Drosophila melanogaster: one gene and its partner. The protein of the gene in region 1 purifies or fractionates together with the protein of each later gene. This does not show direct contact. Each region holds a gene or a part of one and is shown on either strand. Other genes may lie near its edges.

The links. The genes of interacting proteins can lie anywhere in the genome.
Region 2: the proteins of Syx13 (region 1) and Membrin purify together in Drosophila melanogaster (affinity purification with mass spectrometry, with the first as the bait; one large-scale study listed by BioGRID). This does not show direct contact.

What each region holds. Positions count from the first base shown.
Region 1 is NT_037436.4:13,042,661-13,048,039, reverse strand, and holds Syx13 (syntaxin 13), read right to left. Parts: upstream 3,607-5,379; 5' UTR 3,475-3,606; intron 3,403-3,474; exon of another isoform or gene 3,191-3,402; intron 3,123-3,190; 5' UTR 3,121-3,122; coding exon 2,445-3,120; intron 1,824-2,444; coding exon 1,645-1,823; 3' UTR 1,146-1,644; downstream 1-1,145. Other genes in the region: CG11279 (uncharacterized protein), read right to left, coding at 588-805, 869-959; RpS4 (ribosomal protein S4), read right to left, coding at 4,213-4,466, 4,703-4,874.
Region 2 is NT_037436.4:5,364,044-5,368,294, reverse strand, and holds Membrin (membrin), read right to left. Parts: upstream 1,841-4,251; 5' UTR 1,697-1,840; coding exon 1,560-1,696; intron 1,491-1,559; coding exon 977-1,490; 3' UTR 914-976; downstream 1-913. Other genes in the region: Pfdn4 (prefoldin 4), read left to right, coding at 351-395, 521-892; Uev1A (Ubiquitin-conjugating enzyme variant 1A), read left to right, coding at 2,139-2,166, 3,210-3,352, 4,086-4,211. UniProt on the Drosophila melanogaster protein: Involved in transport of proteins from the cis/medial-Golgi to the trans-Golgi network.

The DNA.
Region 1 (5,379 bases):
ACAAGTCCTTGAGACAGCGTTGGGAAAAAGTCAAAGCTCACGACAAGAAAACTTAATGAAAACTTCAAAAATTCGTATAATTTGCACGGCATTTAAAAGAAAATGTTATCGTTCTTAGTAATTTGCATTCATTGTGAAACATACTGAATAAAATATTCAAGATTGTAAGACAATGTACTCTGCATTTGGCAACATTTAACTTTTTATAACATAAAATAGTTCATACTAACATTGAAAATGAATTTGTTCATTTAGTATAGCTTCTAATGAATGAATTTAGTATCAAATATTAGGTTCACCTGACCATCAATAGAAATGCAATCCTAAAACTCAGCGAGAACTACAAAATTTAAGTAACTTTCTTAATTTAGTAGACTGTTGAGAGATTGCAGATACTAACAACGCTTTAAAGCTCATATGCTCTGATATTAGGCGGATTTGTTAATCCTTTTGGCAATCTTAAGAGGAGAATTCGTTTCCTTTGGGTTCCAATCGATGCTATAACAAAGGAAATAGTTTTAGAAATGTTTTACTATACAATATGCAGGTCATTTGGTTATCAACAGAGTACTTATGCCTAGAGTAAGCTATTCCGCGGACTTGGCGGTACTGGCCGCCGCAGCCGCCTTCGCCTGGGAGGCGTGGTGCTTGGCCACCGCCTCCTGGGCCTTGCTCAACTGGATGTAGCCCTCGTGGGCGCGGGAGCGCAGTTCGCTCTCCACGCTCTTGTTGACCGACTTCGAAATAACGGACTTGATCTTCTGCGTCTCATTGAACTTGGCCTTTTTCGCCTGAATTGGCGCATCTGTAAATTAATAAAACAAAAACATAGAATTTGGAGAAGATTGTTAAGCATGTGGGTAATCACTTGATCGACGGGTGAAAGCAGCTTGCTTTTGGTTCTTCTTTTTCTGTATCGCTGCTGGTAGCTTGGCCTTCTTGAATTTTCCCTGTGGCATCTTTACAAATGACAAATTTTTATCAAGAAAACGAAATATAAATGTTTTGCTGTGCAGCACGTTGTTTTGGTTTTGCCCCACACCGATAAGTCTATCGATTACGTCCTATCAATTTAAGCGGACTGCCAACCTATTGCATCCTCTTTGAGCCACTTGGCGCGCTTTTCAAATCACTCAAATTGGTTTGTTCGGTTTATTTTATTTTCGATTGCTGGCTCACTTATATATAACTTGTAACATATATCAAAAGGGAATACTAAAGCCGCAGACGGCTTCAGCAATCCGCCTTCCGCTTTCTCGAAACTAAACACAAAAATTTTACAAATTTCAATGCAAAACTCAGATTGCTCGCGATAATCGTTTTTAACAAGAAATAATTAACATTTAAAAGCGCTGAATATTGTTTATATGCAAGTTAAGTGGGATTCAGTATCCTTATTTACTTATGTATATATATGTAGATATATATGTATAATTATAAATATGGTATTTGTTTTTATTTTTTGCTTTAGCTTTTCCTCTACATTCTTGTTGTCTTTGCTCACTTGGTGATTAAACAGAGTTCTCAACGATCGAATATTTTGTTTCTTATAAAAATCGTTTTACAAAAATCTATGCGTGTGTGTGTGTGTGGGTTGTGTATGTTTGCGTGTGTTTGTTGAATATGGGCGTAAAAATAAAACAATTAACTGTTCAGTTTGGCAACGATAACGCCAGTTACGATTAAACCTATTATCACAGCGATCACCAGGAGTATCAAGATCTTGCGCCGGTAGCTCTGGCGACTCCTGGCCGCCTTGGCCAGTTCCGAGGTGCCATCCTCAACGTTGGCGGCCGTCTGCTCAATACTGTTCTCGATGAAATCTGGAAAGAAATTGAGATTTGCTTAGAAAGTGTAATCAAAAACAAGTACAAAAACCTTCCATCAAGCAAGCACCTAGAAATTTTCAAAACTATTACTAATAAGGAGTGAAAAATTTTGGATATTTAAACCTGTAATAGCAGTCAGTAAATATTTTATAATATTTGCTTGCTCTTATCAGTTTCTTCTTATTTTTGTAAGACCCGAAATAATTGATTACTGTTCAAATAAACAGGAAGTTAAATTAAACGATATGATAAGCGTATGCACACATTACTTGCCAAATGACACGGGTTTTCATAAAAGATATGGAAAATTAAAACGTCTAAGTCGTTGTTGATAATTCCAATCAATTTCGAAATGTGCATTGTTATTGAAGCAAAGTCAATGATTCATAATTTCTTGCACATGTTTACTTATCAACTCATTTGAGAGATTTGCTATGCAACCTTTAAGCAACTGATAAGCTCTGAATATTTTGTTTTACCAATGGATTTCTCCATTTGGACGCTATTAAATATGTGGAACTGCGTGCATTTGGGTCGTAAAGTGAGAGCCCTAATTACGGCTTGTGGTTTCTCGATTTGCGGTCGTTGAGCCCCACTTGGATGGAGATTACTCACCCATCTGCTGCCCCTGATCGTGCACCAGTCCACTCAGCTGGGTCATGATCTGGTTGACATCGATGATGTCCGACTCTATTTGCTCGACCTGCCGCCGCCGATCGTCGAGCATGTCGTGCTCCTGCTGGAGATGGGCCTGCTCCAAGCGCTGTTGCTGCAGCAGCTCAGCACGGGCGTTGGTCTCCACCACCTGATCGGCAAATTGCTGCGCCTGCTGCAGGGTCTGCCGCATGGCCGATGAGATGCGTCGCTGCAGATTGGAGTACTTCTCCACCACGCCATGGAACTCCCGGGTGAGCTTCTCCAGCTGCAGCTTCTGCTGGCGATCTCCGTGCCGCACAACGGCCTGTAGCCTCTGCAAGTCCTGACTGGTGGTCTGCACCCGGGCATTGCACTTGGTGTTGATGGTGTGCACCTTCTCCCGCAGATTTGGCTGCTCCTTGGATGTGCCAATCAGTTTCAGCTGCTTCTCCAACTGCTTGGTGCTGCTGTGGATGGCAGTGATGTTGTGGCCAATGTCCTCACTAAGAGACATGAATTCCGTCGGACTGAAGCCGGACGAACCGCCGGCTGCCGCAAAGCTCACTTCGGGCGTTGAATCGGCCATCGCACCATAGTCCCGATGGGGGCCACCGCCTCCTCCGTTGCCACCGGGATTGTTCAAGGCCTTGGACATATCTGTAAGTGCATATGTATCGCTGTGAGTTCAAAGCAGGGGTCTTGCTAAATAGGCCGACATTTAATACCACTCGCGAGCAAACAGACAAATCCCTACAAATGATTCACATGCATTGTTGTTCTTGTTGTTCTTGCTGCTGCTGTTGTTGTTGTTGTCGCCAACTTATCAACATATGATGTTCGCCCGTGTGCGTATGTGTCGGTGTGCATCGGTGTGTGCAGCGCATCGTTGTATGGGTGGCCAGCATTTTCGTGTTTTCTTCTTCGCATATGATTTGCTTTTGGGGGCGGGGGCTCTGCTAGGGCTTCCGCCCAGCGGCGGAATGCGCCACCGGGATGGTCGGGTACTTACTTCGAAGCGAGTTCTGATCCGGGGACGCACAATGTTCGCGCACAAAGCCTTTCACCACACGAAATACAATGATAATTCTCTGCAGCAGAAGCAGCAGCCCACTGAGCAGTGTGACCGGAGCTTTCGCAGCGGCCGTTCTATCGATGCTGGGGGCGGGTTATCGATTATTTGGGCGCCAACTCCAGCCCCCACGCACCACAGAGGGGTTAAAACTCACCCCCCCCCCCCCCGTAAAATAAATGAATTCCTTTTTTCAATAATCTATTGCCCTTTTTTTATGATATGAATGAAATAAGTGAGATGAAGACGTAAACAAGAATAACACAATCATCATCATAAATTGAAATTTAAGTCCTCATTAAAATCTGCTTTTGAAATATTTACTTAACAAACGCAACTTTTGAATTCGTGTCATAGATAAAACTAGTCTTTCAAGCTCTGAAATGTCAATTTTGAGGGTAGTTTTACTTTACGTCCAGTTCTAAGGCATTGTGAATTGATTTTAAAGTTCCTATAAAGTCACGTTTGAATAGCTTTAAGTCACGTCACACATGTCCCATGTTTTTTTTTTTACACATTTCAAAGCAAACATCTGATTCTTTAAACTCTTGGCCAACAAATAGATCAACCACTTCCATTGCAAAAGAAAACACATGTGTTACGTTCTCGGCTTGTAATTCCGTAGCTAAACGTACAGAGTGTTATGCTAAAAGGTAAAAGTCCTTAAACTCCTGCGCCTTAGTGGGTCTTGGCGGCCAGACGCTTGTCGCGCTCCTCCGCAATGCTCAGCTTGACACCCTTGCCCTTAGGCAGGGAGATGTAGGGCTTGTTGCCCTTGCCAATGATGAACACGTTGGTCAAACGGGTGGCGAACACATGACCTTGCGAGTCCTTAATGTGCACAATGTCGAAGGAACCGGGATGACGCTCACGGTTGACAACGGTGCCGACACGTCCCAAATTCCTGCCTCCGGTGATCATGCAGAGGTTGCCTGTGGAGACGGAGAAATATACCAGTTAGTTGGAATCATACGACTTGGTTAATAATATTGGGCGACTGTCATTGCACGTAAAAGTTACTGAAGCGACTTTGGAATGCCGCATCAGAGACCGTCGTGACAAAAATTGCTTTTGGCTTATTGTTTTTGAACCACGCAACTTTCGAGGAGCGTTTTGTGGTCTTCGAACCAGCCAATGAACACGATGATCTACGATAGCGGATGCTTACCAGAATCGAACTTAATGTAGTCGGTGATCTTGCCAGAGGCAATGTCCACCTGCACGGAATCGTTGGCGTGGATCAGGGGATCCGGGTAGCGGATGGTGCGACCGTCGTGTGTAACCAGGAAAGGAACTCCCTTGGCTCCCAGCTGGGTCTTCTTGACCTTGCACAACTTGTACTGCAAAAGAAGCAAAGAAAATGTGGGTTAATTTTAAGACGTTTTATTTCTACACAATTGCACTACCACTTTCATTTAATTGCATTGTAATTGCACGTAAAAGTTACTCAGACGACTGTGGAATGCCGAATCAGAGACCGTCGTATCAAAAATTGCTTTGGGCTTCGATTTGAACCAATAGACACATGGCAACAAGCGGAAATCGGTCTTCGACGTAGCCCACAGAATTACAATATAATGCTTTATACTCCTTGGTTTCTTTTGTAATTGCACGTAAAAGTTACTGAATCAACTGGGATTTGTCGAATCAGAGACCGTCGTATCAAAAATTGCTTTGGGCTTCGTTTTGAACCAATCGGCGCACTATTCTACACGCAAAACGGTCTTCGACAAAGCCCTTTCGATATTTAAGTTAATTACTTTCGGTAATTAGCATAAAGATTGATTTTGTATTCCAAAATAGGTGAACTATTTATGTTTTAAAGATGAAGTTAGATGAATCTAA
Region 2 (4,251 bases), 7.7 Mb from region 1:
CATTTTTTTTACACGTTACTTACACTGTTAAGTGACAAAATTAAAGGTAGCAAATATCTAAATTATTAACCCTACTTATTAAATATTTTATATATTTTATATTCAACATAGTCATAAAAAATTAAACATAACTATTTAAATAAATATAAGTGCTGAAGATATAACAATAAATTGCTAAAGCGGAATCACTTCTGTAAAATAGCCTAACGCCTCGTTCTCTCTGTTAACTGCTCTCCGTTTGTCAACACTAAAATGTTAAACAAATAAAATTTTTTGCGAAGCACCGAAAACAGCAACTGTTTGTAAAATATCATAAATTATTTATTAAATTAATTAAAACCAACGGGAAAATGGCAGCAAAAGTAGCGAGCGGCACGAACAAAGTGTTCCAGAACGTGAGTATGGGTGAATCATCAAAGGACAGCTGACTAAGATGAAAAGTAACCTCACTTTGTCATGGTTTTTTCTGTGCATCTGCTCAATTGAAATTTATGATATATATTTTAAATCGCATTTTCAGCACGATGACGTGCACATCTCCTTCGAGGATCAGCAGCGGATCAACCGCTTTGCGAAGCACAACGCCCGCATGGATGACTTCAAAGCGGAGCTGGAAACGAAGCGCAATGAGCTGAAGAGCTTGGAGGAGGCGCTGGAGGAGATTGAGCTGTTCGACGAGGACGAGGACATACCGTTCCTGGTTGGCGAGGTGTTCCTCTCGCACAAGCTGGAGAAAACACAGGACATGCTGAAGGAGACCAAGGAGCAGGTGCTCAAGGAGATCGCCGGCGTGGAGGCCAAGGCGAAGGTTATCAAGGCGGAAATGGACGAGCTGAAGGCTCATCTGTACCAGCGGTTCGGCAGCAATATCTCACTGGAGGCCGAGGATTAATCCACAATTGATCAATTGTTAATTTAACATTTTACAAAATAGAGTACATTTAATTTAAACTCAACTAAACGCGATGTCTTCAGATTAGAGCACTAGGAAATAGATGATCAGGGCGATGATAAGCAAGGTGACCACCACTCCTCCGATGAATATCCGACGATCCTCGACCAGCCGGCGTTCAATAAGTTTCATCGTGTGATTGGACAGACCCAGTGTGCTGCCTATCGCCTGGATTCTCTTGTGCGCTCCGCCCAGCGTCATTCTCTGCGAGATCAGGCTCTCGAGAATGCCGCTGCCCGAGGCAATCATGTCGTCCACACCCCGATGGGCGTTACCCAGCTGCGTATGATGCTGCAGTTCGTAGTCCAATTGCAGGCGCGTTTCCTCCGGCTGCGCGCTGTTTGCCGTGAATCTGTGATTCAGCAGCTGTTCCCTCTCGGAGATCTCCTGCATCCGTCGCTGTCTTCGTTCCCGCGCCGTCTGCAGTGATGTCTGCAGGTGTCTCAGGTCATATTTCAGCTGATCCACACGAAGTTTGGAGCTTTGTCGCTGCGAAGGTGGCACCTTATACAACAGCACATCCAACCGATCGCAGTTTCTAAACACAAAAGATTTATTTAATAATACAAACTCCTCTTGGGATAATATATATCATTGTAGAACTCACGCGTTCGCCTGGGTAATCTTCAATTGAATGCCGTTTTCCACGTCAAGCGATTCCTGGGCACTGAGCTGACTCAGTCGCTGGAAATCGCGCTCGATGTCCTTTACCACATTGTTGGTTTGGTGGTACAAGCTCTCCATGTCGTTACACCTATTGATTCCGCATTAATTTATGGGCCCGAGAATATTCGCAAATTAATATTTAATCGGTTGCAATTGGTTTGTTTTTAAAAAAGCTGACGCGTTAACATTGGACAGAGTGTCATGTTAGTTAACAGCACTGATAGCAGAGCAGCTGGCTGCCGTTTTTGGTATGACCATATATTATGACAAACTTATCAGCTAATGCAACTATTAAATTTCCTTTTTATTTTCAGAGAATATGCTATATATTGTTAAATAATGATTTTTAATTAGTGACCAAATATTGCACTTGACGGCGCTGTTAAGTGTTACCACTGTTAACGGTGTAAAAATCAGAGTTGTTAAGCAAGCCAAGCAAAACCTAAACCGCACTGGTCACATCGCACTGGAAACGCGTTAGCACACTTTTACGGTATTTTAGCACTTAGCATTAACCACAATGGCGAATACATCAAGTACCGGCGTTGGTAAGAAATAAAATTGATAAATTAGCAATTTGGCAGCTTAAAAATGCGATCCCCGCACGCCCGGAGTTGTTGGCCATCCGTTTTCTGCATTTCCCGCTGACCGGCGGCGATTTTTCCGCCGCTACGGACCCGACAAGCGGACCGCAATGTGATTGTGTGTGTGGTGCAAAACGGGCAAAAAGAAGACGAAAGCAAGGGCGAAAGACGAAAGCCGATAAAAGCGAAATGGGCGAATGGAAATTTATTTTCGCCAGCGGACCACGCTGCTCTTGCAATTTTCCTTGGCCGCGTTTGGCGTTGGAAAAACTCCGTTGCAATTGGGCTTCGTGACTTGACATTTTCCGAAATATCATCCCCGCTCCTTCCTCACTATGTGGCTCTCGCTCGCTCGCTCGCGCACGCTCTTCTTCTTGCCTTCATACTTAAAGTTTTTTCTTTATTTTCCTTATTTTTTGCACACTTGCGTTTTTGCAAGCTGCCTTGTCTTTTCTAATTAAATTAGCTGCCATTTACATTTGCCTGGATTGTTTTTGCAAATGCAGAAATTATGCTTTCGCCCCGCCCCCGCCGACACACCCTCCCCCCGCGCCCATCGTGCTTAATATCTGCGCTTCGCATTTTTTTTTTTTGACTTGTGTTCTCTGCACGAAAATGCGTACAAAGTCACACGGCCGAAAACAAAAACAACACGAGAAGCAGAGCGCAAAACAACAACAACACGTACCCATATGACCCCACACTGAGAGGAAAAGTCGCCGAAATATCACCGAAAATGGTTTATACCATAGAAAATGTGTAGAACAGTCCTTACTAGTTTGTTTCTAAATAGATAAAACTGTCGTTTATAATTATATATATGTATCTTATCTGTACGAGCCCGTGATTATAATTATTTAGAAAGCTAAGTACTTTCTTGCCCCGCCAACCAGAAAATTAAAAACAAGCTGACATTTAACTTAATGACTATATTTAAAGATTTAAGTTTTTCAGTGAAAATGCATTATGTCATCGAGTTCTCACCTCTTTGCCGTTTCACATTGCAGTGGTGCCACGGAATTTCCGCTTACTGGAGGAGCTGGATCAGGGCCAGAAGGGCGTGGGCGATGGCACCATATCGTGGGGCCTGGAGAACGACGACGACATGACGCTCACCTACTGGATCGGCATGATCATCGGTCCGCCTAGAGTAAGTTTCCATATCGATTGGACTTTCCTCGCTACGTCACCAGATAAGCCCGGTTTATTAGGCAATTCTGTAGGATTATTGACATCTTATCGCTTAGATTGCGCAGACCATTCAGTTTGGATAGCACCTTGTATCTTTGAAGGCAGTTTATCTCTTCAGTGCGATGGAATTTGATAATATTTGCATTTCATTAGCACCGCTGATGCAACTCATTGTGAGTGTGGGTTTCAAAAGTCATTGGCTTCATTAGCTTCTTATGTGGTAAATATGAATATAAAATGTACCTCTGCTAGATTTTAATCTTATATGAAAACTACAAGCTGCAATCTGGGATTATTGCTAGAAAATATAGGTATAGAAACGCTCGTGCTAATTTATTCTTATTTTATTCACAAGAAAATATTCCACTTTACATGCATTTATTGGGGAAAACAAGGCTCTAGCCTTGAATTACTAGCAAGGAAAGCGGCGGAAAACTAAATTTGCATTTAATTTTTGTATAGTCTAGAAGTGTTGCGCGCGCCGCCGCATGAATCATTGAGGAGTTTGGGTGGCAGGGTCTTCTAACAGAGCCCCAACTTGGTTTAGTTGCATTGGCAACTAAAGTGGAGAAGCGGTGGACTAAGGGGAATGGGAGCGCCTGACTCATCGACACTCTGGCCGCAAGTGCACAGAGTATTGAATCATTCAAGAATCATTTAAAGCTAATGGCAAACTCTTGTGTTTATTACAGACACCATTCGAGAATCGAATGTATTCACTAAAGATCGAGTGCGGCGAACGCTATCCGGATGAGCCACCAACGCTCCGGTTTATAACTAAAGTAAACATTAACTGCATTAATCAGAACAATGGCGTGGTAAGTGCAAGCAATCGAATGTGGCATATAAACAACGACG